Caenorhabditis elegans: one gene and its partners. The protein of the gene in region 1 interacts with the protein of each later gene in a pairwise test. Each region holds a gene or a part of one and is shown on either strand. Other genes may lie near its edges.

What was found.
Region 2: the proteins of nhr-67 (region 1) and flh-2 interact in a two-hybrid assay, tested with the Caenorhabditis elegans proteins (one large-scale study listed by BioGRID).
Region 3: the proteins of nhr-67 (region 1) and cebp-2 interact in a two-hybrid assay, tested with the Caenorhabditis elegans proteins (one large-scale study listed by BioGRID).
Region 4: the proteins of nhr-67 (region 1) and sem-2 interact in a two-hybrid assay, tested with the Caenorhabditis elegans proteins (one large-scale study listed by BioGRID).

What each region holds. Positions count from the first base shown.
Region 1 is NC_003282.8:11,167,351-11,176,979, reverse strand, and holds nhr-67 (Nuclear hormone receptor family member nhr-67), read right to left. Parts: upstream 7,233-9,629; 5' UTR 7,147-7,232; coding exon 7,110-7,146; intron 5,820-7,109; coding exon 5,719-5,819; intron 5,104-5,718; coding exon 5,006-5,103; intron 4,909-5,005; coding exon 4,779-4,908; intron 4,571-4,778; exon of another isoform or gene 4,441-4,570; intron 3,832-4,440; coding exon 3,562-3,831; intron 3,512-3,561; coding exon 3,342-3,511; intron 2,931-3,341; coding exon 2,655-2,930; intron 2,607-2,654; coding exon 2,438-2,606; 3' UTR 2,189-2,437; downstream 1-2,188. UniProt on the Caenorhabditis elegans protein: Orphan nuclear receptor that binds DNA containing an extended core motif half-site sequence 5'-AAGTCA-3'.
Region 2 is NC_003281.10:4,949,002-4,956,663, reverse strand, and holds flh-2 (FLYWCH transcription factor 2), read right to left. Parts: upstream 4,541-7,662; 5' UTR 4,532-4,540; coding exon 4,298-4,531; intron 4,172-4,297; coding exon 3,710-4,171; intron 3,256-3,709; coding exon 2,980-3,255; intron 2,804-2,979; coding exon 2,576-2,803; intron 2,492-2,575; coding exon 2,390-2,491; intron 2,144-2,389; coding exon 2,033-2,143; 3' UTR 1,493-2,032; downstream 1-1,492. UniProt on the Caenorhabditis elegans protein: Probable transcription factor. May bind to the promoters of target genes, including micro-RNA genes, in order to repress expression, and acting redundantly with flh-1 and flh-3.
Region 3 is NC_003279.8:6,250,368-6,255,381, forward strand, and holds cebp-2 (CCAAT/enhancer-binding protein homolog 2), read left to right. Parts: upstream 1-2,714; 5' UTR 2,715-2,716; coding exon 2,717-2,814; intron 2,815-2,859; coding exon 2,860-2,947; intron 2,948-2,994; coding exon 2,995-3,111; 3' UTR 3,112-3,217; downstream 3,218-5,014. Other genes in the region: cof-2 (Olfactomedin-like domain-containing protein), read left to right, coding at 204-280, 340-736, 893-985, 1,028-1,151, 1,196-1,293, 1,552-1,649, 1,706-1,865, 1,908-2,012 and 2 more; lpd-2 (LiPid Depleted), read left to right, coding at 3,334-3,459, 3,507-3,644, 3,690-3,939, 3,984-4,299, 4,347-4,473; let-611 (DNA-directed RNA polymerase III subunit RPC3), read left to right, coding at 4,675-4,737, 4,783-4,875, 4,938-5,014. UniProt on the Caenorhabditis elegans protein: Transcription factor that binds to the promoter and the enhancer regions of target genes. Regulates expression of genes involved in fat metabolism, including ech-1.1 and fat-5.
Region 4 is NC_003279.8:5,203,089-5,211,573, forward strand, and holds sem-2 (Transcription factor sem-2), read right to left. Parts: upstream 5,041-8,485; 5' UTR 5,034-5,040; coding exon 4,833-5,033; intron 4,496-4,832; coding exon 4,232-4,495; intron 3,713-4,231; coding exon 3,305-3,712; intron 3,257-3,304; coding exon 3,143-3,256; intron 2,449-3,142; coding exon 2,221-2,448; 3' UTR 1,442-2,220; downstream 1-1,441. Other genes in the region: osr-1 (TPR_REGION domain-containing protein), read right to left, coding at 1-83, 273-318. UniProt on the Caenorhabditis elegans protein: Probable transcription factor required for embryogenesis, vulval development and cell fate specification of the postembryonic mesoderm (also known as the M lineage).

The DNA of each region.
Region 1 (9,629 bases):
TGTCGATTTACGGGCTCGATTTTAAAATTAAGCAAAAAATGAGAAAATATTACTACGAAACGAATGAAAACGTAATATTTATCGATGCCATTATTCAAAATAAATCTGAATTTTTTTTTCGGAAAAAAAATTTCGTCGGAAAAAATTAATTTCAAATAGTCGATCCCGTAAATCGACACTACAGTAGTCATTTAAAGAACTACTGTAGTTTTTGCTGCGAGATAAATATTTTGCGCGTGAAATATGTTGTGCAATACGCATTCTCAGAATTTTGTGTTCCCGTAATAACTGTTCCGATAATTTCGAAAATAGAAAATAAAAAACTTGATTTAAAAAATGCATCGTTCAATGTTTTTATTTTCTAGAGTTAGAATGTTGTTTTAAAGGTAGAGTTGCGTCTGGGAATTTTTTTTAATTAACTAGATGAAAACATATATTCAATGAAAGATGTTGTATTATTTCAATTTTTTGAATATCAATGAACCTCTCAAAGGTTAAGTAGCCGCCAAACTTTATATTCAAATGGTTAAAAAAATTGGTTGGTTACCAAAATTATGATAAGTGAAAACAATAATTGTCACTTTTAGAAAGTAAATAGAAAAAAGTTTCGTATTTTTTAAATGTGATATTTGACGAATTTGGCATCAGTTACGATACTCTAACTTCAAAAGACTAGTCTGAAACAGTATGAAACATCAAAGTTGAAGAAAACCCAGTGGAACCTGAAGTTAACAAGAATTGAGGAAGTGTCATCAGTTGGTAGGTATCACAATCAGATTCTTTCAAAAGAATTGAATTAGAATGAACATGACAAGAAACGCGAAAAAAAATAAGAATGTGATTACACACATACAGAAAGAAAATGAAGAAACTGAGAAGGAGAAAGGAATGAAAAAAGAGACAGGCTTTTTGTGATTTCATGTTTCCCCATCTAACCACATTCTCCTCATTCTCTGGTGTTAATTAGCTGCGAAACGAATACGGTTTCGTGATGGTTTCGCTTTTTTTTATTTCAACAAAAATGGGTATATCTATAGAACTTTCTTCTTCAAGTTAATTGGAGGAAAAGGCAATAAATCAGATGTAAATGTTTGGAAATGCCACAGATGATTAGTAAAAGTGAACACTTGGTCTAATAAGAAGTGTCTATTTGCAGATGTTGGGTATATCTTTAAAATTTCATAAAATAGGTAAAATCATTATTTAAACAGATTTTTTTCCATAGTTCCACTGTTGTGATTGTAAAACATTACTATACTTTGACTACACATTTCTCTGTTCGTTGCACAATATTTAAAGTTGTTTTTAAGTTTAATTTAGTTCAATATTTAAAGAATCTTTAATTTCAAAACTATAAAAAATATGTGTCAGTTGAAAAATTTTGATAACTGGTAAAATTGAGCAAAACTGTTTTACATATAAAAATGGTTTCTTTAGAAATCGTTTTTAAAAGTAAAATGCCCATGCCCAAATATTATGGTAAAACTTTTAAAATTTTTTTGAAATAAATATTTTACTGACAGTCAAAAATTAGTGAAGCCTACGCCTATAATTTTGAAAGTCTTTGAAAAAATATCTACAATTTTTTATTGTTTACTTGCTTTTCAATTTTTGTATTCAAACAGTCTGGGAGTTCGAAAAAGCAATTACTGAAAATATTCCATGTTTTTTGAAAATTGCAAATAGATACCGAAACTTTGACTAAAAACTTTGAAAAATCTTAACCATGTTGGTTATTTTTCGGATGTTCTGGATGTTCAAAAATGAGTTTAAAGCATTTTCTTTATAATATTGGTTGTTGTTCTGTTAGTTTAAAACTTTAAATTAGTCAATAAATCTCAATAAAAAATATTCTAGCATAATCAGGTTTATCTACAAAAACGTAACGCGTTCAAACTATTGACAAAACCATAAACAAATCATTAAAAAGGGGGAAATCAGTCAGCTAATGATTTGGTCATCTAGTTGAATGGGAATATCAGAATGATATGGATATGATAAGAAACGAGGCCATTAACAAGGAAAACGACGATGACACAATATGACATTCAACCGTTCCATTTTCCAATAAATCTCTCGGTTTCTCTCCCATCATTTATTGATTTCTATTGTTTTTTATGTTTCGAATCATATGTAGTCTTCTCAAAACTGTATGATTCACCTTTTTTTAATGATGTTTGTATGCCAATTGCCATTGTTGTAAACGTTTTATTCATCTGTTCACAATATAAATCAGAAAATAATAAATTAGTTTTAAAGCTTACCATTTTTTTTCTCTAAATTTAAATTAAAAATTTACAATTGAAAAATGAAATTTTGAAAGTATAAATCAAAATCCAATGAAAATCCGGGCGAGGCAAGAAACGGAGTGAAAAAGACAATGAAAAGAGATACTTAGAATAATTGAGTTACTGTATATGAAACATGAATTTACTATCTAAACCTCTTCAACATTAACACTCTCTTCTTCTTGAATTGATAATAATTCAGTTATTGATCGAATCGAATGACGTGGTCTTGAAGAGGAAGGGGATGATGCCGATGAAGGCTGAGTTGAGGAATTAAGAGCCAAGAAAAGTTGAACGGGATCCAGTTCTCCGACAGATCTGCAACAGACTCAGTTAATCCACTGTACTAATAAATGCTCATCATACCTATCATCAGTAGAAGAATTTTCATCAAATTGATTGCTACTCGTCGCATCATCCTCTTCTTCAATATCTTCACCCTCTTCAGTTTCGGTTTTTTCTTGTTTTAATAGAAAGTTCAAATTGAAGTTTGCCATTGGAAACAGTGACGTAGGAGTGGGTTGTTGTGGTGGCTTGAACATGTCTTGAATAAGTCTTGGCATTGAAGCTGATCCAATTGAAGGGCGGAATAGAACATCAATTATTGAAGTTGTTGGAATAGCGGCAATTGCATTTATACATCTGAAATAGGTTTCAGACTGTGAAGTTTTCAGAAGGAAAGATGGTACTAGAGCGTTTAGTTTTCATTAGTTTTCAATAATCAATTTCGCTTTTTAAGCAAATAGGAAATAATTTGCATTTTTTGTGAGAACAAAAAACACTGCTTTTTTAATTGTGGAATTTTTTATATTTTGAGCCGAAAAATGAACTTTTGAATAGGATAATCGTACAAAAACTATAAATGAACTTTTTCAATTGGTTAATTAATTAATTTTAAAAAAGAATTAGCAACCTTCAAACTAGCAAATACAATATTTAATTAACTTTGATCGTTGCAACCCACTCAGAAAAACAGCGTTTACCTTTATAGTGAAGTCTCACATTATTCCAAAAATAAGAAAATTGAAAAAAAAAATAAAAAAAGGAACTTACTGGATATATCTCGTCGGTTCGGTTCTATGTGTGAAATTCTGAATAGATGCTAACTGAAAGACAATTTGAATTGCACTTGGTGTATCTCTCCACATTGTGAAATGTTTCAACATCATGTATTCTCTATTATCCAATTGTAAACGTTCAATTATTTCAAACGCGTTAGCAACCTGAACATTCATTAATTTTTCAAAATATTCAGATTCATATTACTGCATACCGCATTTCTTTGCTCTGAGCTACCGGATATCGTCTCAGTCCTTATTTGCTTAGAAGTTATGGCACGTGTTTCAGTTGCATGGAGAACAAGAAGTGCTGCCCAATTTTGTTGAAACATTGTCATTTGCCGTTCTTTAGGTACTCCATTCAAAGGATTCTGACAAAATCCAACAAGTGCAAAAAAGATTCGAGCAGCAGTACCGGCCACTGTGTCACGATTCATTGATGATGTCGGAAGAATTATTGCATCACTTTCTGATCCCATTTCCGGCTGAAATGAAGGAAAATTAAAATCATCTACTTAATAATATTAACTTTTTCACTGAAAGTTAATTATAGAAATTTTAGACATAATTTCCTCTTGTATACGATATTTGCTAATTCTTCCAATCAGCTGTCCCTAACAAGTACTTATGCAACATAATCATTTGACACTATGTTGTCCCCACTTAAGATCCATAAGAGCACAATATTATTGAGTAATTTGTATCCGAATACAAATAGAAACATTAAAACATCTGCCCCAGAATACACATATATTCACAAGTTTTTGAAACTGGCTGATTTTTCAAGGTGCTCTTTTTTAAAGAATCTGTCACGGTTTTGGCACGTATTTGGTGTTTAACTGATAATTAGAGGATATTTTTTTGAAATTTGACGTTTTGAGAAAAACGTACCACAAAAAAATTAAAATGTTTTGTTTAATTCTTCGATAATTGCCAATTCAAAAAATTGCCAACTTAACGAATACTCAGCACTTCCGGCAACAACCAAGTTACCGTGTTGTAGAAAATTGCAATTCATTGCAATCATATTTCTGACCATGCTCTATATCCTAGGTGTTCCCTTCGCCAGTAAAATGTTTGACTATGTTCAAGAGTGACAAATCACCTGTCAGGTGGTACTGTAGATTTGTACAGCAACCGACAACTTTTCACCTTTTTTACTTTTCGTCGCCGCCGCGTCGGTGTCAACTCGACCAAAATCCACCTGCGGATTACTGTACTAATTCTACTCAAAATCCTTTTTTCACTTCACTTTAGTCACTGATTTTTGTGAGTGAGAAAGAGAAAGATCGGTAATCATGAGATTTAAATGGAACTATTTTGAAAGTCATTATGAATTCAAAACTAAATTAGAATCGATAAATTTAATTAAAATTATTAAATATTTTGTCCTTGTAACATATCCGAATTTAAGATTCCCACAAACACATACCGAATTAGGAGAGGATCCATGATCGAACATCATCTGTTGTCGTCTTAAACTTGAGTTACGAGGCCCTCTCTCATGTTGGACAGCATCTTTGTTCATCCCAATTTCCAGACACTTTCTTAGTCGGCAAGCTCTGAAATTCTCCAAGTGTCATCAATCAATGTATGGACTCGAACGTAAAGAGCATAAAAGGGGATCGTAACACTAATCTGTGACCGTTAAGAACTCACCTGCACTGGTTGCGGTGTGTTTTGTCCACTTTGCATTGTCCTTCGGATGGACTGCCTTTGTTTTTGCACACGTATTGACGATGACGACGGATTGAACGCTGAAATTTGGAATTGTTGTTCAATTTCAATGATAATTATGCTAAGGAAATTTGAAAGTCAATTCACATTGAAAAAATATTTCATGAGGTCTCAAATCCTAGACATACATTATAATCGGAGCAGAACAAAGTTAATGTTGCAAAATGATTGTAGACATTTTTTGTTGAAGATTAACACATTTTTATCTATCCGGAAATTCAATAATATAACAATTAGTTTCAGCAAAAATTAGTACCTTGTCTAACCAAGGTGTGCGCTTTTAAAACGTACTGTAGTTCAATAAATTTGTTTCTGTCGAATTTTGGATGGTTTTTCGATAAAAATATATGTTTTTTAATAAAATTCAGATGTAACACATACATTTTTAATAAATCAGGAGAAAAATTCGGCAGAAACGAGAGTACATAATTACAGTACAGTTTAAAGGCACATACCTTTTCCCGTTTAATAAAAAAAATTCACATCGAGACCGGTTACCGTATTTTTAGAGCAAAAATGGGAAACTTTCGCGTCTAGATAATACTTTTTTAAAAATTTTCCACTAAAATTTACTCTCAAATTCGAATATTTTAAGCTATCTAAAAAATGAGAGCTCAATAAACATTAAAACTTACTTTAAAGAATCCAGCACACCCGTCGCAGGAAAAAATACTGTAATGCTTCCCCGACGAATGATCTTCACAGACTCTACAATCAACATCCAATAGAATTCGACCTGAAGAAATAATCATTTTTAGGTGTGAAATAGAATGAGGAAATCAAGAAAGCCAAGAAGGAGAGACTCCAATTATTCAGCACTTCCTGTGTCTCTTGCCTGCCTAATTAATAGAATATGAAAAGAGAATGAAGGCAGAATGGAAATGGATTTGTTGAAAGAAAAAGGCAAGAAGTGAACAATATTTCAAATTGAGTTTCTACTTCTTGGATATTGAGTATTAGTTTTGATGTTGTTCGTATGACTTTAAAAAATTAATTTTATTTAACATCATGACCTTTCAAATCAATTCTAGTTCTAGCTAAATGGTGCTAAATCCACAGGTGCCACGTGTCACAATTGACCCGAAACACCTGCATCTCCCACAGAAACTCTTCCATTCTTGTACTAATTCCATCACCTAACTCATAATTCACACCTAATCATTTCTACCATAATATTGAGTCACTATGTTTAATGACTTCCTATTTTACTTATTGGAGTTCTCGTGCCGGGGAGATTAGGAAAAAAAAAGGAATTTTTATGAAAGTTTTATGTGACTTTTTAGTTCTGAAATCAGGGTTCTGAAATAATGTCTTAATTTTTCAGTTAGAAATTTTTTCTCACACTGAAATTGATATGCATTCAAATTATGATATTCACATTAGACATTTCTTCATTTTCTTTCTTCATTCACACAAACTAGTTTAGGTACAACTACAGTAACCCATCTGCACTAAGGCTTCTAGAACTCATATATAAAGATACATGGATTTACTGTAGTTTGTATATTAATGGATTTATCCCATGGAAGAAGTCAAGGTTCAGATTTTGTTAAATTTGAAGACAATGGGTAGTAAAAAAATATTTAAAAAAAAACAGGAGTATTTCATAGGGTTTTCAAAATTTTGTGAAGGTATCAAAATCCTATACGTATGTATCTTGCCAAAAAAGCTCCCACTTTTTTTTTCGATATTATGCACTTCCAAACCCATTTTTAGGAAATTCTTCCCTAAATATTTCAAATTAATAATAATCTACTCTGAAATTGAAATTAAAATGAGAAAATAACAATTTTATGTGGCTAAGAATGTGAAGTATGCCCACCGGGCAACTCATCCTACGTTTATTAATTGCTCAAGATCCCAATTTTAAAATCTGAGTTTCTTTTGAAGTTGGGAATTGGAAAAAAGCTTTCTACAGCTAAAGCCTGGAAGTTTAAGAAAGCTCATTTTTCCAAGAAAGTTCGAAGTAGAAGTTTTCATCTTCTGATTCTAGATGTTGACGATTAACTTTTTAAAATTGACTTACTGCTTGGAACCGACATCTGTGAAACCGCAGTCATCATTCTTGGCGCCAGATTCATTAATTCAAGAATTCCGGAATATTGAGCACACAGATTCCCAAAAGACAAATTCTCTCTTCTTAAGGCGAGAGTGAGAGGCAGTCGGAAAGGCGAAGGCGAGTCACGTCGTCAAATCATGGGCGGAGCTAGCGACCACCACTGACAGCCGACGGAGAGAAAGCGAAGAGAAACGACTCTGAGGGATACTGTAGACGATGCAATAAGCCACGCCCTGATTGATTTTGAGAGTTTTTCTAGTGTACTGTTTTTCAAATATTCAATTTTTTGTTTTCATAGTATCCAGGTGAATGCCAAATTATTCAATTGAGTGGTAGTTTTATGTTAATAGCTCAAGTAACATTGTTCAGAGTACAGAAAATCTAACTGAGGTGCTCTTGTAGTTGAAATGTTTAACTTATTTTGGAAAACTATAAATCTGAAAACCTAGACCACTGTAAACTTTACTAGTGTGTGAAGTTTTCAAGCAACCACTATGATTGACCACACTCTACTCATCTTTTAATTTAACTTTAACTCGGAGTTTTCAATTTTTATTTAATTTCAATACATTTTATCTGCAGTTTGACTTGAACAAATTTTGAAACTTTCTCAATTAAGAAGTGGTTCTTTTCTGGGATTCTGGTTTTTTCGGAAAACAGTTCTGTATCCTTGGTCATGTTATTATATTTGCCCTATATAGTCAATATTACTCTTGAAAACTCCCTTCCTGTCGGATCCTTTTATTGCTCACGGAGCATCCACCTCATCCCAAAAACTTTGTTCTCTTTTCATCCCGCGCACAATCACCACACACTTCTTGCCGTTGTTGCTCCCATTCTTCAGAATGCCTCCTCAAATCTTTTTGGAGGCACAAGTTGAAGGAGTTTTGGAAGACTCAAAAGAGCTCAAAAGACCCGACGACATCCCTGAGAATACTTGACCATTCATTGTCATCAGTAAAGACTTTATGATGAAAAGAATTGGAGCAAAAGTTTTGAGCAGAGGAATGGTAGTTTTGCCGCAAAAAGTTAGATGGAGTCTGGGGTTCTATGTGAAATATGTAGTAGACTGTTTTGAGAGAAAACTTCAGGTCGTGTGAAAAATTAAATATAAATATTATTTTAGGGAAACTCTAGGTTCCAGACTTGCTTGAACCACAAACGTAAAACTGACGAATTTCAAGCTGTATTTTTTACAAACTTCATTTTCAACTTTATTTTTTATATATCAGTATCAGGCATATAGTTCTCTCTCGGAGAGCCAGAACAAAATCGAACCAAAAAACCAATATCCCTTGATTCATTAAAATTTTAATTTTCTTTGAAGTTAGTTGCTGAAAACTTTAACATTGTAACACCGATTGTAAATTCTTAGATTCGTTATTTAATGTTCTACCCCTCTTGTTCTTCAGTAGGTTGTCACAACCAATTCAGTGTAGTCTATAGTATTAGGTTTCTAAGCAAAAAAAAAAACAGTAAAATATTTTTCCAGCTGCCAGGCTCATGGTATTTTAGAACCTAATAAAATTCTTCAAATGCTCATCATATAAATTGAACTCTCTGTGGCTTGTACCACAGGGTACGAACATGACCTCCATTTCATTTTAGTGGTGAACACCTGCATTTCATTTTGATGCTTACGCAATCAAAAATACTTTTTTTTCTCGATTTTACCCAAGAGTAAGACAATGTGTTGGGATTTTACGCAATATCGAGAACGATGCAGGAAAAGGTCGTTGAAGAGAGATAGACAGACGAGGGTCATACAGGTGTGAACTTTTGGAAAACTTAGCGAAATGGTGGGGGGGGGGGGGGGGGGAAGTAAAATGAATAGATCTTCCAATGTTACATTGGATTGTAAATTATTTATCACAATCATGTTTCCGTATAGTATTGCATCCCATCGCTCTATGTACTTGGACAGCTTATGTTTCAGTTGTCTTTTGAGTTGGTAAAAAGTTATCAACTGACAAAACAATTTATATTTTTTCTATAGTGCTTCAATCAGACTTGTGAACAATTTTTCATCACGTAGGCATTAACTTCTCTCGTTGGGAGGCGAATTTTGTGGAATCCCTAGTATTCACAGAATTTCAAAATCCGTAGGAAACAGAACGTTCCGCTTCAAGGCGCACAAAAACTTGATAGCATACGGAAACCGCTTCATTTCTATTTTCAATTTCTAATTATAGTTTCACTGAATCAATTAATCGAACTTCTGACAGAAACTTTCCAACTTTAAATTGTTTGAAATGTACCTGGAATTAAACACGGACTAGAAAATGGGATGATCATCTTATTGTTCAATTCTATGAACCGGAATTCTTTAAAAACTATTAGGTTTCATCCATTTCAAGCCGACAAGAGCTCCCCACAGACTGTTCATCACATTGTTCCCTCTAATCTTCTTCCCACGTTTTGCGCTAAAGTTTTGTCACACCATATGTCGGCTATTTGTTGTTTATAGGTAAGTGGTGTCATAGCCAA
Region 2 (7,662 bases), on another chromosome or scaffold:
CAGGATCTCACTGCTATTTCTGTCTTTTTAGAGTGTGAAATCCCGATAAATCTTAATTCCCACATTAAATGTACGATTTTCTGAAGTTTATTTAGAAGCTAAAATGATAGAGATCGTGGCGAGACCCAACAAGAAAAATAGCGAAAACACGTTCACCCAAACGATAATAAAATATTTTTTCGAATTAGAAGCTGGAAATGAAAGAGAAAAAAGTGTAAAAGCAAAGTGTTAAAATCGAAACTGATCATTCTGACGAAAACAGAAACCGACATAAGCTTCCATGTCAAATCAACTATTCAGACGTACGTGCCTGTCTCATGACTGCCTTCCCAGCAGCCGTAGGTCACCGTGAAGGCTTACAGGATAACATTTTTGTGCGTACTTCGTAGGTTTGAAGTTAATTGAAAAGCTTTGCGCGTGCGAGAGTGTGCAAGTTTGTATGAATTCTTTCATTCTTCTCAAACTAAGACAAGTATCAGATCTTATGCTGACAACTCGATTGAATACGATGATTCAGTACGGTTTGACCTCCACAAATATTATTTTCAGAAGGTTCAAGCAATGGTCCAAGGAATTGAAATAGAGCTTTGAGCGATTAGTTGAGTCACGAACTTACTGTCAAGGTACTCTCCGGCCATACCTTTTTCTGAAATTCTCGGAATAATTTCTATCATCAGTCTTGAATCATTGTTTCAAACCAAGCAGTTTTTATCAATGACTTACATCTGTGTAATCTTCAATTTTCAAGGATCTTCAATGTATTTTGATATCAACACTATTCAATTTTGATAATGATTGTTGCAGTTGCAATGATCGAATTTACAACTGCACTATTTCTCTCATATCTCTAAAGAACAATTGCAAGATGGTCAAAACAATCTTGACAAGTAAAACTTGATTTTCGCACACTTAAAGCAATAATTATGTCTCGATCAGATATTTAGCTAACATGTTTTCTATTGTTTAAGATAAAAAACGTTTCAATTTGTTTCCTAGCAACGTTTTTGATGTAATCGTCAATGTAACAGCCACAATTGTATGAGCGTCATGTTCTTTCTACATATTTTTGATAATGTATAATTGGAGTCTAGACCGACCCTTACTACAGGGTGGCCCATAATTATGCGGACCGCCAGTCTGAAAAGTTAACAATTGAACATCCGTGTTCCGAGTTTATCGACAAGCTGTAAGAATAGTTTTCAAAATTAAAAAAACACTAATTTTGTCATATAAAACACAAACACTCACTTTTACTAGAGGAGCAACATCTATTAATTCGGCTCTTGAAGATTCTAACTCGACAAAAATGTCACGAAATTTGATGAGTATTTGTTGGAGCATGTTGGAGCTCTTTTGTGATATTTTTTGATGAATTCGGAACTTGATGACAAAATTGGTTATTTCTCATCTCTTTGCTACGATTAGGTACTCAATTTTTCATGGACTTAGACATACTAATGCTAGAACACAATGGTGACATTATAGCAACATTTTTTACTTATTCATGTTCAATTGTCCACTTTATATATATTTTTATTTCATAGAAACAATTTATTGATGTAAGTGATCAGGGGATAATTGTTAGTTGAACGATATCATTTTATCAAAAGAAAAGGAGCATATAAAGGGGGTTTTTTCCTGAGTTGGAGAGGGTGGTTTCCGTAATTTTATAAGGGGGAAAGAGCACAATAAAAGGGAGACATAGAGATTGGAATTGACAAGGAATATGAAAATTTGCGAACTTTTCTGAAAAGTTCACAATGAGATCCGGAAATGGGGGACCTGACGACGAGCTTTTTTGTTGAGAAACAGACAAGATTATAGAGACAAGATAAGGGAGAGGTATTGAGAGGGGAAAATGGCTGGAATAAATTTAAAAAAAAATTTACAATTTGTAATTATATGATTGCTCCGGGAGCTCGATATTATAGGTTCATGACAACTAATAAAATGTAGCGTGCAGCGAAACGTTGCAGTCGGTCAAGTTATAATTTCATGACTCCAAACTATCGATTAATTGAATAATGATCACTTAGACATGGTTTAAAGGCTCGCCGAAAGCGTCGACGGGCGTTAGACGCCAGAGAGCCGGTGCATCAGTGTTGACGAGAAATAGTTTTCCGTGTGTCCAATTGCTGATTAGCTGAAAGGTTCAGAAATGCTTAGAAAAAAATGACTTGATTTAGATTTTTTGTAGGATAAATTTGACAAACTGCCAAACTTTCGAAAAAATCTTCGAGCTTTCCCACAGGTCTTCGAGCTTCCCCTACAACAAATACAAATAATCAATGCTAAATTTCGAAAAGTGGAAGAGTTTTCTCATATTCACCGCCACGTAGCAAAACTCTACCAGGGCTCATGTCTAGTCTTAGAAAATTGATTCGCTTACCGCTTCATGTACAAGCACATTAACCCTCTGTGAGTAACACAGAGCAAGTTTTCCTTCGCAACGTTTGCCAGTGAATCCTTCTAACGCAGTGATTAGGGATTTCTGAAAATTATAAATTTTTAGGAAATAATTGTTGATTGTTTTCTGCTTTCAGTCTTTCGGGCTTCCAGAAATTATATTACTTACCTCATCACGATTCATGACAACCACCGGAAAGAAGACATTCTCTTCTGCTCCATTATCATGTGATAAGAACAAAAGAATTGACCCTTCATCTCCTTGCCATCGAACTCCAATTTCAGTTTTTGGCTTCATCATTTCCATGAGCTTTTTGGTCAATTCGTAAGTGATACGGAATTCTTCTTGTGACATCAATTGAGATGAATCTTCTTCTTCTTTAGGAGTTGTGCGTTGCTGAAAATATTAAGAAATTCCAAAGTTGTTCGAAATTTTCGAATTTGGCCCTGAATTTTAGAAATTCGTATCATTTTTTTTAGTTCATTTCCGTTTTTCTGGCTCAAACCTATAGTTTTGAAAAGTTCCAACCTTATGATGTTTGAACAAAGCATAATTATTCAAGAAAAACAAACCGATTTCAAAGTGATAGGCATCACAGTCGTTGATACTCTTTTCTGTCCAACAACCGGCGGACTTATTCCAGCAGAAGTTGCAGCTGCAGCCGCAGTTGCTGCTGCATTGATTGAGGCGAGAAGCATTAAATTATTGTTTTGTTGAAAGTTTTGAATTGTTTGATTTGTCGTGTCAACTTCCATTGGTTCAGCTTTAATTTGTTGTGGAGCAATTGGTAGAGCTTGTGATACATGTGAGGCACGGCTCAGTTTTCGTTGCATGTAGGATCGGTTGATCTAAAAGATTTCAATTTAAAAAAGATTGGGAAATTTTGGAATTCTTAAATCAAAAAACATGAAATTAGCAGTTACACATAATCCGAATGTTTTATTAACAATAAGTGTTGTGCCTACCTGCCTGCCTACAGGATCTACCGAAAACTAAAAAAAAACTTTTTTATTTTGGCTGGTTTCCCTGTAACCCCCCGCGATGAAAATCCACGCCCACTGCGTCTTTAAACTCCGCCCACTCCGTCTGATTGGTTGGAAAATGAGCGGAGCGAATCGCTGATTGGTCTAACATTTATCATTTTAGAGGAAGTTCAAGCAGGGCGATTAGTAAAAATCGAAATACATATAACGTTTCGGCGTACATACATTTTCGTTCTTTCTCGACTTTTTATTTCTAACTATTTTGAATATTTCAAGTTTTGAATATTCACCATAAATCTTTTAGCTCAAAAAAACTCACACTTTTCACTGGATGACAATAATTTGGATGGAGAGTAGAGAAATCTTGCTCATAAAATGCAAGTTCTTCGGGCGACGGTTTCTCATGATTATGTGGATGTAACTTTCTCACAATTTCTCGTGTATTGATATCTGAATGCATTCTTGCATTACAATCATTCTTTCGTTCACATCTCCAAAATTCTTTAGTTCCACAACACGATTTCTTATCAAATGACATGATATATCCATCTGCATACACTTTTTCTCGCACATTTCTCGGTTTATATTCGGGTTCTGTGGACGATGATGACGTGGATGTTGCGTTTGATTGTCCACTGTTAGATACTGCAGTTGCAGTTGAAGACGGTGATGAGCTGGCAGATGGACGTGTATCTTCAGATATTAACTGAGATGTTTGGGATTGTGGATCAAGAAGTAGAGAGAATGCTTTTAGATTTGTAGTGCCAAGGGCTTGAAGAGTCTGAAAAATAACAGATAGACTTACTCGAACATGAATATCTAAAAAGTCTTTCAAGAGAATCAATTTCACATCTATAACTCAATATATTAATCAAGGAGTCAAAACCACAAAGAGCCCATCTCTCACCTGAATAACATTCGTATAGTCAATATCTGCCAAATGTTTTTGCGAATTGGTTCCATTCACCGCTGCCTGCACAATCGTTGGTTGTTGTAACAGTAATCCGGCGACTATTTGCTTCTGTGCCAACATCGCCAGTTCATTATTATTATTTCTGTTTGGTGTCGTCGACGGTAGTGGAAAGATCGGAGGAACCGCTGTGACACCATCTGTATTTGTGTTCATCATGGTGTCCACCATACAGGCGGTCTGAAAAGAGGAAAATTAATGGAAAATACGATGAATTCAAAACTATCTACACGGTATGTCTCAATTGTTTTAGAACATTTGAATAACAAATCCAAGAGATGCAAGAAGCGTACTAATAGAGGAATTAAGTGACAATTGCGATTAAGGTGAACAAAAAACAAAAGTAAAGGGAATATTAATATTTAGGTGCAATAGAAGAAAAGGAAGTGGTACCATCGGAGAATTGAAAAAATATGATAGGGTTATTCCAAAATTGTGAGATCATGAGTTTTCTCTGGTTTGGATTGGGATCTACAAAACTATTTTACTAGAACTTGTATTTTTTTTAATCAGAGAGCAAACAAGGACATTCCAATTCACCTCTAATTGTAGTGCTTTCAATCTTTCTAAACCTCCTCAACATATGATAAAAAGTTATTTAGTTGAAAATATTTTGCTAGATTGCTTTTTTTCAAAAAGTTCAAAATTCGTAGACTTCTTAAAAATATTTAGATAATGTTCCGATGTTTTCCAAAATTCCAATGAATAGTTTAAGATTGCCCTCTTCGAGTTGTTGTAAACATAAAAAATGGAAGAGAGTGTGCTCTTTTGACAGAGACTGCACTAGTAGTAAACGATGCAGTGAGGGGGAACAAAATGGTCGCGCCAGGCGCCAGCTGGTCGCAGCAGGGGTCCGTCCGCCGGTTTGGAGCCTCTCCCCTCTCCCGGTTTCCATTGGCTCCACATCAGTAGAATCCACTAAATATATGCGGAATGGCGTCGGGAAGCGGCCGCGGCGGAGGAGAGAGGGAGGAGGACGCGGCGACGGACGATTTATTGGCGCCATGCTGTGTTGGTTTAACTCAGTTATTCATCACTTTTGAAAGATACAAATTTAATGAAAAAGTGACAGAGATAATGAAAGAACCCTAGAATTAGATGGTAGATTGGTCAAAAAAGTAAAAACGCAGTCGGAGGCGGCCTATACCTAGCGGGAATTTCGTCTAATGACGCGAATTTTAAGAAATCAAGACAATCTGAAAAAAAACGAACTAAGCCTAAGCCTAGGCCTCATCATGAGCCTGAGCCTGAGCCTGAGCCTGAGCCTGAGCCTGAGCCTGAGCCTAATCCTAAGAGCAATCATAAGCCCAGGCCGGTCTGCAGACCCTTAAACTTGCGAAAGTATTGTACAAGACTTGCGGTTTTTCTTGTTAATTTCATAAACTTATGATTATCTGTAAAGTTAGCTTAACATGAATAATATGTAAAGTCCTGACCGGAAAAAACAATTAAATATTCAATTATTACAATGTGGTTAGATACTAACGAAAACAATCATTTTTTAAGCTTACAAAAAACTATATGAATAACAATATAATTAAATTTTTAGAAAATATAAATATTAAACCAAAAAATACCAACTTGGAATGCCCTTTTCGTGAGCTCAATGACTCCGTTGAAGCGGAGCCAAAAAGCAGAAGGGACCTGACTCCCAGAGCCCACGAGAAGCGCCAGGAGAAGCGCGCGCCGAAAAAAGATGGATAGAGAGAAAAAGAGAAAAAGAATGAAAAAAAGAGAGAAGCAGTCAGATGACCGACGCGGCGCCAGTCAAAATAGAGGCGCTCGTGGTGGAGTGAGAGAAGGACGGGGGAGCGAGAGTAGAAGCAGAAAAAAAAGAAAAGAAGACCACCCAAACAAGCTCTTTCTCTCTTTTTCTTTAGACCAACGTACCTATTATCGTCACCGCTTCTTCTTCTTCTTCTACGCCTCTTTTTTCTCCATATTCCCGTGTCACCATCACCACCTAGTACGGCAAAAAACAAAGGTGATGGATGGGAAAAATGAAAATATTCACTGAATTTAGTGGTTATAGATCTAGATTTTTCAAGTTTACAAGAAAAGTAAGACAATGTAACATCAGGCTCCAAAAAAGATAGATTTTTTGAAGACTTTCATTTTTTTTTTTAAAGTTCTAAGTTTTTTGAATCTATTGCTCGCGCAAGTGAAGTCAAAAAAATTTCAGATTCAAAAATGTATTTCCTTAAAGCTTTCGGAATTTTCGCCTACTTCTCTTCGTCTATTAAAATCACAGAAGTCTGCAAAAAAGATCTCTTGGAGCAGTTTTACAGGGCTCAGATAGAAATTTCAGCTTGAAAATAATATTCCTATCTTGGTTACATCATTTTAATTTTAATCTTTAGGCACCAACGGATTAAAGCTAAAAGACATCATTTTTGTGAGCTATCAAAATTTCAGAGTTTTGTGGAAATGGTCAAAATACCTAAACTCACTAAATTGTGCATTTCGAAACATTAAATTTACTTCTCGATCCTCTAATTACAGTACACCTTTTACCTCATCTCATAGAGGGTATATAGTTTTTATCAAATTGTCAAAAATTTCAACCTACGGGTTACGGCTTGTTTAGTAAGTTATAGTAGGCTTTAGTACTCTTCATGCCTGTCTGCTGACCTGCCTGCCTACCGCCTACTTTCTGCTTTCTGGCGTCAACTCCATGTTTGCACTTATCTGGATCTACGAATTTCAAAATTCTTGCAAGTTTAACAGGTAAATGGAAAATGATTCAAGTATTACTAGCAGGCATAGGAAACCAATAGGCCTACCCTATAGGTATATAGGCAGCCATTTTAAGCGAAAAGAGGGAAAGACAATTGGAGGTTTTAAAGACTCAAAAAATTATTCTACGAGTATTATACTATTCCAGCTTGCTCTCCCAACTTTGATCTAGATCCGTTGGAAATTAACCTCCAAAATTAAATGTAAAGTATTTAAAAAAACAATACGATTTTTTTAAAATTTGTTTTTAAAAGTTGTGAAACAAAAATTCCTAATTTTTTTGGAAATTTTGAAAAATCTTTTTAAAAAAGTATTTGGAGTATTTTATTATGGTGCTCGGTGACAATGGATTATTATAAATCTATTTAGACCACCAATTTGAAAACAAACTGCTGAAACTGAGCTTTTGGGTGTGGCACACGTTCTAGGTCCTACAGCTATAAAAAAAAGAAATCAGCTTTTGAGCTAACTTAACCTTTTTTTGAAACTGTGCAGGTTGTGCAAAAATTGAGAAATAGGTCATCCGTAATATTATGTTGCTAAAAAAAGTGTTCATAACGTTCAAT
Region 3 (5,014 bases), on another chromosome or scaffold:
CTAACATCGCCTTCTGTCGCAACTGAAAATCAGCGAATATCAACAAAAAGTTTCGCACAAAATGTTTATTCCAATTATTTGCTGGAATCATATTTCATTTCAAATGTGCACATTATTTCACTATACCACCCAAATATATTACTTTTATTATCAAGCTTTTACTGATAGGAACCTATTGATTGAGCCTAGTTTCTTCAACTAAAATGGAAGAAAATTTACATTATTGCAACTTAGCAATCACATTAATTGCTGTTCTCGCGTTTTCTCATATTCATTACAGGCAAGTGATTCATCAAGAAGATATATTATAAAAAAACTGCAGAAAAAAATTAATTTCAGAATTTGGACATTGGAATCCGAATGTCAATCTCTCACTGAACTAAATTTTCGTTCCAAACGTGATATTCCCCTATCAAGAGGCAAAAATGCTTCAGACATCCTGTGGCTAACATCCTTGTCTTCTGTAAAAATTGGAGAGCTAATGCACAAATGTACTGAAATTCATGAATACTGTAGTGAACAAGACGACGTGCGCGGGAAACCGGGCCCTGTTGGACCTGTAGGCCCACCTGGAAAGAGTGGACCTGCTGGACCACAAGGACGAAGAGGGTTAATGGGAATCCCAGGGCACCCTGGACCTGTGGGACCACCTGGAAATATTGGAAAAGATGCGGATTGTTCTTCATGCCCGATTAGAGATGAGCTGTTGATGGAAAGGGAGTTCAAATGTCCTACTGTAAGTTTGAAAGGGGCTGGACCTACAACCTAGAAAGGTAGGTCGCAGATCGTGACTTCTAGCTGAAATATAAAGTTGTTCAAGATTCTGTGAGCTATGTAGATTGTCTAACAACCTAGCTTCTCTGGGCTTCTCAAAGAAGGAAAGAATTTACAGATTGAAAATCTGGAATGCCCGAACAGAGAAGCCATTCCAACAACTCCCTGGCCTTCAGTCACACATCAACCAATGCCTGGATTGGTTCAGCAGGTGACTTCAGTAATAACTTTCAGATCCAAAGCATATTTTCAGATCCTTTCCAACTACAGTGAAGTCGAGGGATGCGTGAAAATATGTTTGAAAAACTACACTCTCGATGAAGAAATTGAAGAGACCATTACGACTCCAGTTGCATATATTCAAGGAGTTACTGCCCGTAAGTATTATATTCAGTCTTAAAAGGAGTTGAAGAATGTTAAGATTGCCGACTTCAAAACGTTGGAAAACCTGTGTTCCATTCTCATTCTACAACATATTATGGAAGCTGGATGAGAGATGCATACCCTCCAACCGGCGATGTAAGTTTGGGAGCTTGAAAATGGAACTGAAAAATTTGCTCACACTTTATTCAACTCTTTCTGTATGTATGTTCGTGGTTCATTTTTCGGAGGCGTTTTCCGGTCGAGACGTTCGGGCATGAAAATGCTAAAAAACCGGGAAAAAGTAAAAAAAAGTTTGGAAAGCTGTCACAAACCGAAACTCACTGGTTCGCCGAGTACTGGTATACTGTACATTATGAGAAAGGCATATCTCAACATATGTATATCTTGTTTCAGGACGCTAGAAAACGATACGTAATGAACCATTTCCAAGGCCACGAGCTCATCGAATTTAGGAATGAAGCTGAAATGCGACGGGACCATGTCGGAAAAGTGTATGGTTTTCTTTCAAAATTTTTCAAATATTTGAGAACTTTTTATTCTTTTTCAGCCATCGCCTTCCATATATATTCGATGGAACAAATCATGTTATTTTCAATGCATCTCTTTTCTATCAAAGAGCAGGATATCCAATTATTGCAAAATACGAGTTCAACTCGAAACAGTACTCACAGTTTGAAATACCGGGAGCAGCTTATCGTGGGGATCAGGTGAGTTTTGAAATTGTTTTAAGTCAAAGTTTCCAATTTCAGTACCTTTATAATAATTCGATGAATTATTTTGACTTGGCAATCGATGAAAATGCACTTTGGGTCATGTTTCACTATCAGGAAGAAGCTTTCTTATCAGTAGCTAAAGTAATTTTAAGTTGTTCATTGAAATCTATCTACTAGGTACTATTCCAGGTGGATATAAATAATTTGACAATTTATGAGGCATTCAACCTCACGACAGTAAATCATACAGATGTTGCAAATGGAATCGTCGTTTGTGGAACAATTTATTTGGTTTAGAATTTTTTATTTGATATCAAGCTTGACCAATAGCAAAATCAAATCAACATTATTCCAGGTGGAAAGTGCATCAGAACAATCCACGTATATCTCTACGGCATACGATTTCTACAGAAACACATACTCCCAACCTTTGATTAAATGGATTAATTTGTACAAGAACGCCAATATGATTAGCTATAATGCTTATGATAAGAGAATTTACATCTACGATCATGGTTATATGCTCTCTGTACCTCCACTTTTGCATTGGCTGGCTAAATAATTTGTGTAGTACATAGTTCATTTACTATATTTTAAAATAAATTCAGTTTTATTCGAGAAATATAAAGTAATTAATTTATCGTGAATATCGTGAAAGTAGCTCTTTCCTATATATTTTTTCAGGAGTTTTAGTTCCCCTTTCTCGAATTTCTGTGGTGTCTCACGCAACGACGCTCCGTTTTACACACTCGCGCGTACTTTATCGTAATTCCACAAAACCTTTTTTCCATCATTTTTCTATTAATTCCATAGTTTTCCTCGATTTTTTGTTGCAATTTCAAGCGATGAGTGGAAATCGGAAGCGAAACACATCAGAGCCTCGTGAGGACGATGAAGATGACTATTCCACTAAACGAAAACGGAATAACGAAGCTGTGAACAGGTAAAATTTCATTTTTAGCCGCTAAAATCTAATTAAAAATTCCAGAACCCGACAAAAAAAACGCCAGGAAGAAAATGACACTGCAGAAAAAGTAGACGAATTAAAAAAGGAGAACGAAACACTAGAAAGAAAGGTACTTGTTTACTTGATTTTTTAATTTTAATTAATTCCCTCTATCAGGTCGAGCAGCTACAGAAAGAGTTATCATTTCTTAAAGAAATGTTTATGGCATATGCGAAAAACGACGGAAATGATGGACCACCACCACCGCCACCACCATCTTCTTCCGCCGTGTAGATAACAATTTAATCAAAGATTTATCCACCATTTCTGTAAATTTTATACAAATAACTCAATTCACGCATTCCAATAACCAAAGAAAAATAAATTTAGAAAACGCTTTACTTTCTTTTTTAAACTGTTTTTTTTTGTGTGGTACGTTTCCAACAATTTATCTTGAATGATCTTATTAATTAACTTTTTGAATTTGTGTTGTATCAAAAAAAACGTTTCTTTCAGATGACCGAAACGGAGCAAGAAGCGTTTGCTGATTTAGTGGCAGAACTGGAAACTCAAACTGCAGAAGCAGTAAAAGCTTTCAGTAAAGTTTTCGATCGGATGGAGGAAACGAACGATGACAAAGAAGTGAAATGAAAACCTCAAGATTTATTCAAAAACTTTTTTATTTACAGGGGCTTAGTCTTCTGAAGCTGAAAAACTATGAAATGACAGCGTACCTTGGAGAGTTGACTGTCCTTATGTCGAAAATGATGAAAGGAGAGTCAATTACAGTAGAACCATCTGTTAAAAGAGCTTTAAAGCATAGAGTGGTATGTATTTTAGTATTCCAACTGTTCCTAAAAAACTAGTTTCAGTTCATTGAAAAAATGAAACCAGTCGAGGATAAGATGAAACCTCAAATTGAAAAGCTACTAGGCCGGTCAAGCGCCGAGAGTGGAGCATCAAATGGTTCTTCCAAGGGAAATCACAGAGTTCGATTAGACAATATGGACGTTGAAGGAGATGAAGAAGAAGAGGAGGAAGATGAAGATGATGAGGAAGGAAAAGGAGCAAAGGAAGTTAAGAAATATGTGGCACCAAGAATTAGAGCAGTTCGATATGAAGGTATGTTCAAAAATTAGTTTTCCGTAAAGTTATGTTCATTTTAGAAGAAGACGAAGCTCCGAACAAGCAACAAGAAAAGGCAAAACGTCGTGCAATGCAAAGTAGTCTTATTATGGAACTCAAAAATCAATACAGTGATGCTCCGGAAGAAATTCGAGAGATGAGTGAGAAGAAATATCAATATGATCGTGAGAGAGAACGTTATGAGGAGGATAACTTCACCAGAATTCGATTGAATAAGGATCAGAAACGACGAAGCGAACAACTAGGACGTTCGGAAACTCTTGATGATTTGCTCAGTTTTGGAGATTATATGATGAGAGGAGAAGATGGTAGAGCACTTTCCGAAGGAAATAAAAGGTAATCTTTAACTTTTAAAATTGTCCAACATATGATCCATTATTCAGAAAGCGTGCTACATCTTCTGGTGCTGGCGGGGACACAAAACGACACAAAAAATCCCAAAAGGAACGAAAGAAAGCGGCAAAAGGAAAGAAGGAAGGACGAAAAAGGGCTATTCGCAGAAGACAATAATGTTTTTTGTTGCATTTTTATTTGCCAGTTGTTGAATTTTTTGTTAACTTTTTATTTGTTTTGTTTTACTTGTTTTTATTGTATTAGAAACAACACTTAAAAAAAATATTTTCAAAAAACAATTTCCAGAGCGGTTGCAAAGCCAAATATCTGTAAAACTTCCAAGGAAAGCTTTTTTACTAAAAGACCTTCAGATCAAAAATGGGTGGTGGAAAGTATGAGACTCAAATGTGTGTAATTATCATCGAAGATATTTTCGGAAAGGTAAGAATTTAAAAACTTTCTTTTTAAACTTTTTTTGAATTACAGATTGTGGCGAAAGTAATGGAGACGATTCTGAAAGAAAGCTGCCAGTTGTCTACTCTTTTTTATAAACTGAAAGGACAAATTTCAAATACTCTAGTTAGTTATATTGATTTGGAGGATATTGAGTTCACTTGCAGAAAAAATAGATAAATTTTCAGATCAGAAAATCGGTTTCCACATTGATCAACTTTGGTTTTGTTACTTTCCACTTGGACACGAACAATCGAACCACATA
Region 4 (8,485 bases), on another chromosome or scaffold:
TTTTTGATGGCTTTTACCTACGAGAGATGACAACAAAGCTCCCGGAGCATCGGAAGTCGATGGAGATTGGGCCGATAATGGTGCTGGAAATTTTCTAAATATTTTCCCTTTTTTCAATTTTTCCTCATAAATCATCACTTAAAAAAATGTTAGGATATCACAAAAAGTTCAGCCAAAGTATTTGATAAATTGCCAAATTTTTTAAAGTTTCTGATTTTTTTTGAAACATAAATTTAACAATGTAATCTCTAAATATTGAATTTAAAACTAACCGATACAAAATCCTAACAACAGGAATAAAAATAAAAATAAAATCATTTTCGAATCTTTTACGAAAGTGAAATAAATAAAATGAAAATGCGAAAGAGAAAATCTTTTGAAAGGGAGAAGTCGTGGAACTGGATGAAAACAAGAATGAATTGATAAGAATGGCTAACGACGAGAATATCACCTTCTGACATAGGTGAACCTTCGGATGAAACTTGTTTCTTGGGTGGGAGAGGAAGGATTTGTTACATCAGCATAGCTTTCATGGATCATCAATGCGTTTCGATTTGTTTTTAAGGGTTTGTTTTTTTAATTCATGTAATCAGGATGTTTATACAGTATTGACTCTGTTGGTCTTGCTTGCAATTCGATCATTATGTAGGAGTGCTACTGAATCCCTTTCCCGACTTAAAAAACAACTCGGTTCGTCTTTTTTTTTGCAATTCAAACAAAAAAAACGGTCGTGCGCCGGTCGCGTGTTCGAGATGCCAATCTTAGAATTTACCCGGTTCGTTTGACGACCGTTAACGTCGTTGGAGGTCGGTGTGATTTAGTAATTTAGAAGAACTTTTTGAAGATTTTGAGTTGCGATAAATTGGGGAAAAGAACTTTCGAAATGTCGGAAATTGATGTCCAATATTTGGAACGAAAGATAAAATAAAGAAAAAAAGAGAAAAAGAAACATGCCGACAAGTTGAGGTTGTGAAGGACGGATGATAGAATGCACTATTTATTTGAAGGTTGTTTTTTTTTCAAAGCTGTTGGAGCCAAAAACAGGGTGTGACTTTTTAAAGCAGGTTTCAGAAAAGTGCCAAAATTCCGAGAATGACATTGCAAAAAAAAACAAGAGGTTCCAGAAAAGCGGCTTCCCGACTGCTCGGTTATTGCAGTATTCACGGAGCAATTGTTCTACCAGCACAAAAATTGATTTCAGGCCAGGATTGAACTGTTATGTTAAATTGTAATATGTCATACATATTTTACGAGACTGTTTACGAGACATTATTTAGGGAAGTTTTTTCAATTTGTGTCACACACTTGCCGCAGCTGCCAATAACTAATTAATAGTAGAAAATTGCTAGGTATTTACCTGAATTTTAATTTACAGAACAGAAAAAATTAATTAAACGTATATTATTTCCACAAATCTATGTATTTTGAAATCAAAAACAAGTTAATTTTTTAAATGATTTTTATTGCTCAGAAAAAGGAGACAAACATAAATCAATCAATAATAAATGAAATCAAGAGGAAGAAATTCATTCAATACTGAAAATTTGGAAAGATGAGTGAAAAAGGATAAGAGATATTTAGAGATGAACAAGAGAATAAATATTTCTTCAGGTTTGGGAAAAAGGGTAGCTACATTTGGCATATTGTAGAGGGCAGGGGATGGGGGGAAGTGTTCAACATATACAATCATAATTTCGTGCTTGAAATCTCAGAAATTTTTTTTTTCAAGTACAACGGCGAATTGGGTAATCGATGAAAGTTGAAAGAACGAATGAAAACTGGCTCGGTAAAGCTGGGAGAGGATAAAAATGGGTAAAGAAATGGGGACGATACTTTTGTAGAAGAATACTTTCAATTTGAAATTAGTGAATTACTTTTTGGATTTGTAGAAATACTCTTAGGGTTTCAAGAAATGAAAGAATACAATCGCTTGGATTTGTTGAGGAAATACTGGAAAACAAAGAGAAAAATACAGAAAAAGGTGGTAAATAACTAGAAAATGCTGGGGATTAAAAGGTACTAAGACCGGACTAAAGGGACACTCGAAAATTGTTGGAGAGAGATAAAGAGAGAATTGTTTCAGGGGAGAGGCTAGAATTGAGGTAGGAGCAGAAAATGTTGGGCTTTCAGAAGAAACAGTGAAAAAAAACATTTGGACGTAGCGATCTACTTACTACCCGAACTTTCAGAAGTTTTCAAAAAAAAACTTGTCTGAAATATTCAAGAAAAATTAATATCAATTCCCAATGCATCGCTCCATGGATAATTGACCAGCTCGCCTGTGGTTACAGTTGGACAAATCTGCTCCAGGTCATCCAAATGTGTTGTAGTCGTAGCGGCCGTAGCCATTGTGACGACTCCCGCCGAGTTTGGTGATGACGTTGATTGTTCAGAAGCACTACAGTCGGCGTATCCCGAAGATCCAGACGATAGACTACGCATGTCGTCCTGAAACTCATGAGTTTTGAACATTTCATGAGGATATTGTGCTGGTGGTGTTGAAGTTGGTGCTGGTGATGGTGCGAAGTGGTACATGTTATAAAGATTATGATTCTGAATCATTGGGTTAGGTATCTGAAGGAAAACAAGCGGTTATTAGGATGTTAAGCATGGATGCTGGGAAGGGATTGTAGTGGAAAATGGAGTACGGTAGGATTTACGCTAAAAGGACTAATAATATAAATTTTCAAAATCCAATGGCCAGTACTAAGAATTTTATGATTTAAATGTTTTTCAATATAAAAGATGAAATATCGACAATGTATTAGAAACTACTTAATCCACTTCAGAAAAATTCAAAAATTTTTGAACTTTTTTTAAAATTTACAGTCAACGGGTTTTAAGTACTAAACCTAAGTAAAAATTGAATCACAAGTAAGTGTTTCTATAAATTCTAAGGGCTCGAACAATTTCTCATAAAGTTAAATTTCTTCGGAAATTTGATAATTTGCAAAACTTTGATTGAAAATTTTGACAAATATAAAGTATTTTGAGTGATTAATTATTTTCTTTAAGATAAAATTCCCCACCTTTCAGAAAATAAAATTTGGCAATTTTCTAAATTTTTAGCCACTACATCCTACCGTACTCCCAAACAAAAAGTGCTTCAAACAAAATCTCATGCAAAAGAGACAACCCGTACCTGATCAACTGATGGTGGTGAAGTGTGCAAGTAGAAAGGATGATTACCAGCTCCAAATCCCGAATTATGCCCCATCATTTGTGGTGGCATTCCCATGTCCATACCAAGATTCGTCTGAAAATATTGAATTTTCCAAGCATTTCGTGATCTATAAAAACTAACCATTCTGAGGGGACTTCCTGCCGAATTATGATGTTGTGATGCAAAATGCTGTTGATGATGTTGCTGTGTAAAATAGTCATCATAAAATCCAGATTCAGGTGTCAACGGAGCATGTCCAAACTCGGAAGGTGATGGATACGATGGATGAAATGGCATCTTTTGTGCATGACTCATATGAGCATTTCCCATCCAATCTTGCTCCACTTTCACTGATTTAAAGTTTTGGAATTGTTGTGTTTCTGACTGTTGATCTGTGTTTGGACGTTTTCGTTGACGAGCCTGTGGTGATGCTCCACGTGGTGGGGCCTGTTGCTGTTGTGGAGCTTGGGGTTGAGCTGGCTGCTGAAGTGTTCCATCTGGATTCTTCTTTGGCTTCTTGCGTGGCTTGTATTTGTAGTCTGGATATTCCTGAAAAAATTTAAAATTACAATACAATTATTCGAAAAATCCGGTTACAGTATTTCCTGTGTGGCACAGAGGTAAGCTACTATTTGAATATTCTAAAATTTGATAATTTGGCAGTTGCCAAAAACGTCGAATATTTAAAAATTTCTGAGATTCGGAAAATCACCAAAAATAAAATATTGGAATTTTTAGTTTTTAATGAAAAGCTTATATTGTTTCACCTACCTCCTACACTGACTATAGTAGAAATTTGTTTTTCGTTCAAAATTCAAATTTTTTTTTCAAATTATTCTCTTTTTTTTTAACTTTTTTGAACTCGATAATTGTCGTATTTTTGAATTTCCGAAAATGCCGATTACGGAAAACTTTTGATTGGTATGAAGCCTCTATTATCAGCACAATACGTTTTGAAATTATTTAGTGAAAATACACTTGTTCAAAAATTATTACTGTATTTCTTACTTATATAGAAAATTCGGTATCAATATTGAATTGAATTAAACTATATTCTCCCATACTAACCTGCATATGACAAACTCTGAGTCTCTCAGCTTCAGCAACAAATGGAGCTTTTTCCTCATCAGTCAAACTTCTCCAACGACTTCCCAATTGCTTACTGATTTCTGCATTATGCATATCTGGCTGATGCTCACAAATCTTTCTCCGTTCCATTTGAGACCAAACCATAAAAGCGTTCATTGGTCGCTTGATGTGATTTGATGACTTTTTGCAATTTGTTGCATCCGAATACGGGGTCACTGATTTGGGAATCGCTTGTTGTGCATGCTGAAAATGTATGGATTTGTTTCAGAGCAATTTTTAATTTTTTGGTACTTCTAGGTTGAGAACATTTCTAAAAGTGCAAATGTCAAGTAACTGATAAGAAAAGAGTTTTCAAATTTGTTGCTCTTCCACTCTAGAAGTTTCAAAAAATAAGATAACAAGATGACCAGTGCAAAGTATCATGTTTTTTGTTTTTACTAAATTTATTACCTTGTTTACTAAAAAATTATTACAAAAAGGGCTGTGTCCACTTCCTGATGTCCTTTTGACAGCTTATCACTTATCAAAGTGTAAAGCCCATTGTTTCAATATTTACAACCAAAAAAACCGTATCACAAACCTTATAGCCTCCAGCTGCTGTCCCATATGGATGATGTTGTAATTGTTGTGACGTGGCAACCGAGTTAGACGATGTGGCATTTGTGGCTCCAGAAGTCGATGAGGCTACTGCAATTGCGGCCGCAGCCCAGTTAATCGGCGGCATCATATGCGGAGCCATTCCACAATCCAGCATGAAGTTGGGCGGTTTTTGGAGATCCATTTGATATCTGAAATAAAAAGTAATACGAAAAATAATATTGTTGAAACGGAAAGTGGAAAAATTAAAAGAGAAAGGTAAGAGAAAGTGAAATTCAGGAGACCGAATTTCGGCAGAAAATATAGGGAAAATCCAAAAAGAACGAGAGTTAGAGAGAATAAGAGATTCAAAGATGTCTACGATCCGTTTCCATGAGAGATTTCTACGAGGAGATAGACAAGGTGGCGTTCAGTGTATCTTTAGTACAGTATACTTTAGGATACAAGTATACGGTAGAATCTACCAAGAGTATACTTTTCCAAAAAGAAACGTAACCAACTATACAATTAGAAACTTTCAAGTAATAGTAAAGCAGGGTTCTAGTTGCCGGTCACTTGCTTACTGATAAGAGCCAGCACTGATAATTTTTTCCTGGAGAAAAGCTGGAACATGTGCAAAAGTATGGAAAAGGAGAGAGACGGCAAGAAAGGAAAAAATTCAAAATAAGAACTTAAATATCAACAATCATGACTACCACGATTCTAGCTGGATAAGTTAATTAGCAAATGACCGTAGGAGCTTAATCTATTCAATTTTTGATGATAAGCCTGACTGATTCTTCTTCGAGATGATCAGGTCAAACTGCCTTTCTGTCTCATTTTCATTTCTCTCTCTCTCTCTCGAGAAAAGGGATGTTGTACAACCCAATGACAAGAGTGATGACATAACAATACAACACAATAGAATAAGGGGGAGAAGCATCAGAAAACTGGTATTTTTAGAAAGGGGCAAAAACGAAGTAGGAGAATGAAGCAGAAGCTGTGTACTTCGAGAGTGCGGTAGTGAGGCTTCTCGCATGATGTAATGGTTTGACATTTGGTAATTGTAATTGGCATTGGCCAAACGAGATGATGTACTACTACTGTGTGTATATGTACGGTAGATTGGCATGTCATGAGAGAAATGGTTTGGAAATGGAAGTTTTCAGAGAGCAAAAGGTTTGACACATTTAGAGAGCATTCATCTTGGAAACCCAAGTACAGAAAGTGAAACAATACTATATAGAAAAGAATATCAAAAAGGGTGCCAAGAAAACAGAAATGAGAAAAACTAAATGGTAACAAGTATATCTTCCTCCTTACAACCACCGCCTCCCGTCCTGAAAAAGGCGTGTCTAGACCGCCTCTACGGCACTTTGCAAAGGACCACGAGGTGCCAAGTTATTTGCGGCAGAGTTCCGAAAGGAGGCAAGTAACTTGGTACATTGAGGTGGCTAGATTGCATGGGAAATTGGATAAACAAGAATTTTGGGATGAGTTAGACATGAAACTCAACTATTGAAATTCTGAATATAACAAAGATAATTGTATTTCCAATGAGAAATAAGCAAGGTATCTAGACAAACATAGATTTCTAATTCTAATAGATTCTTAAATGAACTGAAAAAAGGTGGCTTATATTTTTGATGCATACTTTGGTATTTTTTGGAACATTTCAAAATCTCTGACCGTGAAAAACCTTGCCATGTTCGATATCAAAAAAGTAACAACAAAATATTGGGTTAACTTTAACTGAAGAAACTCTCAAATATGCTTATTTCTAAAGAAAAGAGCTCCTAACTTTTGCCTACACAGTTAATTTGTCATGCTTTCAGCAGGTACCTCATAGACATTACGATGCACGATGTACAGATCGTCAACGAAGTCGGGCACTATATGCACATGGCGACTCTAAAACAGTCAAAATATGTGCCCAACGATATCGAAAGTTATGTGCAATTCTGCTAGACTAGCACACTCCAAACTAAAACCTATGATCAAGTGGTTACTTGATAACTACAGTAACCTTGATCCTTCTTCGAAACCAGCTTTTCCTTCTCCTCATCTCATTTAGCGTTCACTCTCGAATGAATCATGACTTCTGCCCCCTTACACCTTTCCTCCAAAAAAACTGTATTATGTAACTTTTTGGAGGTAGAAAAGAGGAAAAGTGTTCACAGTCTCGACGCTCGGTGATGCCTTCAGCTTCTGATGCGCAGAAGGAGAGAGAGAGAATCGCAAATCGGCAGAATTTGGAACCGGTTCTCAACTCAGGAAGGGGCAAAAGAGGGGGCAGAAGAGGTGAAAGTGTCTCGAGATCATCGAGAGGAAGACGGCTACTGACTTGAAGAAATGAGAGGAAGGAGGGAAAGCTGTCTTGTATTACAACAGCAACAAAAAACAGTTTCAGATACAAGAGAACATAACACTGAAATTTTTTTAGAGAAGGGAGGTCACGATATTGGTCAACAATCTCTTTGAATAAAATTACAAAAAATTAGATTTTCAGACATCAAAGCATAGAACGTTTCAAAAAATTGATTTCTAATTTTACCAAGTATTTACAATCATGCCTCAAAAAACTTTAAAACTCACTAAAAAGCTAAATGCAGTTTTAATTGACTATTTAATCAAAACTACAAAATCCAAAAATTTGGTACATCTTCAAAAGTATACTAAACATTAAAAAAAAAACCTTTGCAAGGCGGCAAGATGACAAATGGGAGTGTATGGTACCAACTTGCCGGTGTCTTTTACATAGGATATCGATTAGTAAATATCGGCTCAAGAGAGGGCACGAGGCGGGAAAAAAGGTGAGAAGACGGCAAACGTGGAGATGTCTAGTGAGGTAAAAATCTATTATTGACTGTTATTTGTCACTTGTGAAATTATCTGAAAAACTATATACATAATTCTAAAGTTTCGGATATATCTATAATTATTGTGAAACCACAAGTTTACCTCTAATGGCAGAGCGGCAGAGCGGACCTTGTTTTTGATAGTTTGTTTCTGTTGAAACATACAGAATCTTTTGAAATTATGAAGAACAATTATTCAAAAACTTCTTGCACTTGAGTTACAGTTGGCCGTTAATTTTGTTGAAACATTTTAATAATTATGAGCATGTCAGCAGGATTATATATTTCGGACATCAAAACTTAAAAAAAACAAATAAAAAAAACCAAAAAGTAAGAGAAAAGAAAAAGAAAGGGTAAACTGTGTTTCTTTTCTCTTTCGATTCTCGTTCAATTTCTCAGCTTCACCTTTCTCTTCATCTACTTCCCGTGTGTCTTCTACGTCTTCCATAGTCACACATAATCTATTTAGCAATCTTTTCTGCCTCCCGCCCCGGGGAAAGTAGGTGTTGTAGAGAGGAAGATGCGCGATGATTTTGATTCAAATAAAAATGATGATGATGATCCATAGTGGGTCAAACACGAGAAGATATCACTGGGCAGGCGATAAGAAAGTCAGAAAATGTAACAAAATTTACAGAGTTGCTCAATTCTCAAAAGTTTAGTACAGACTTGAAAGGTAGACGATCACCAAAAAAGTGTTGTTTTCTAAAATGACACTCTGTTAACTCACCAATTTTTTATTTACAGTCTAATATACCATGTCTCGTGATTTTGCAGCTGAAACTGGCTTTCTCAACTA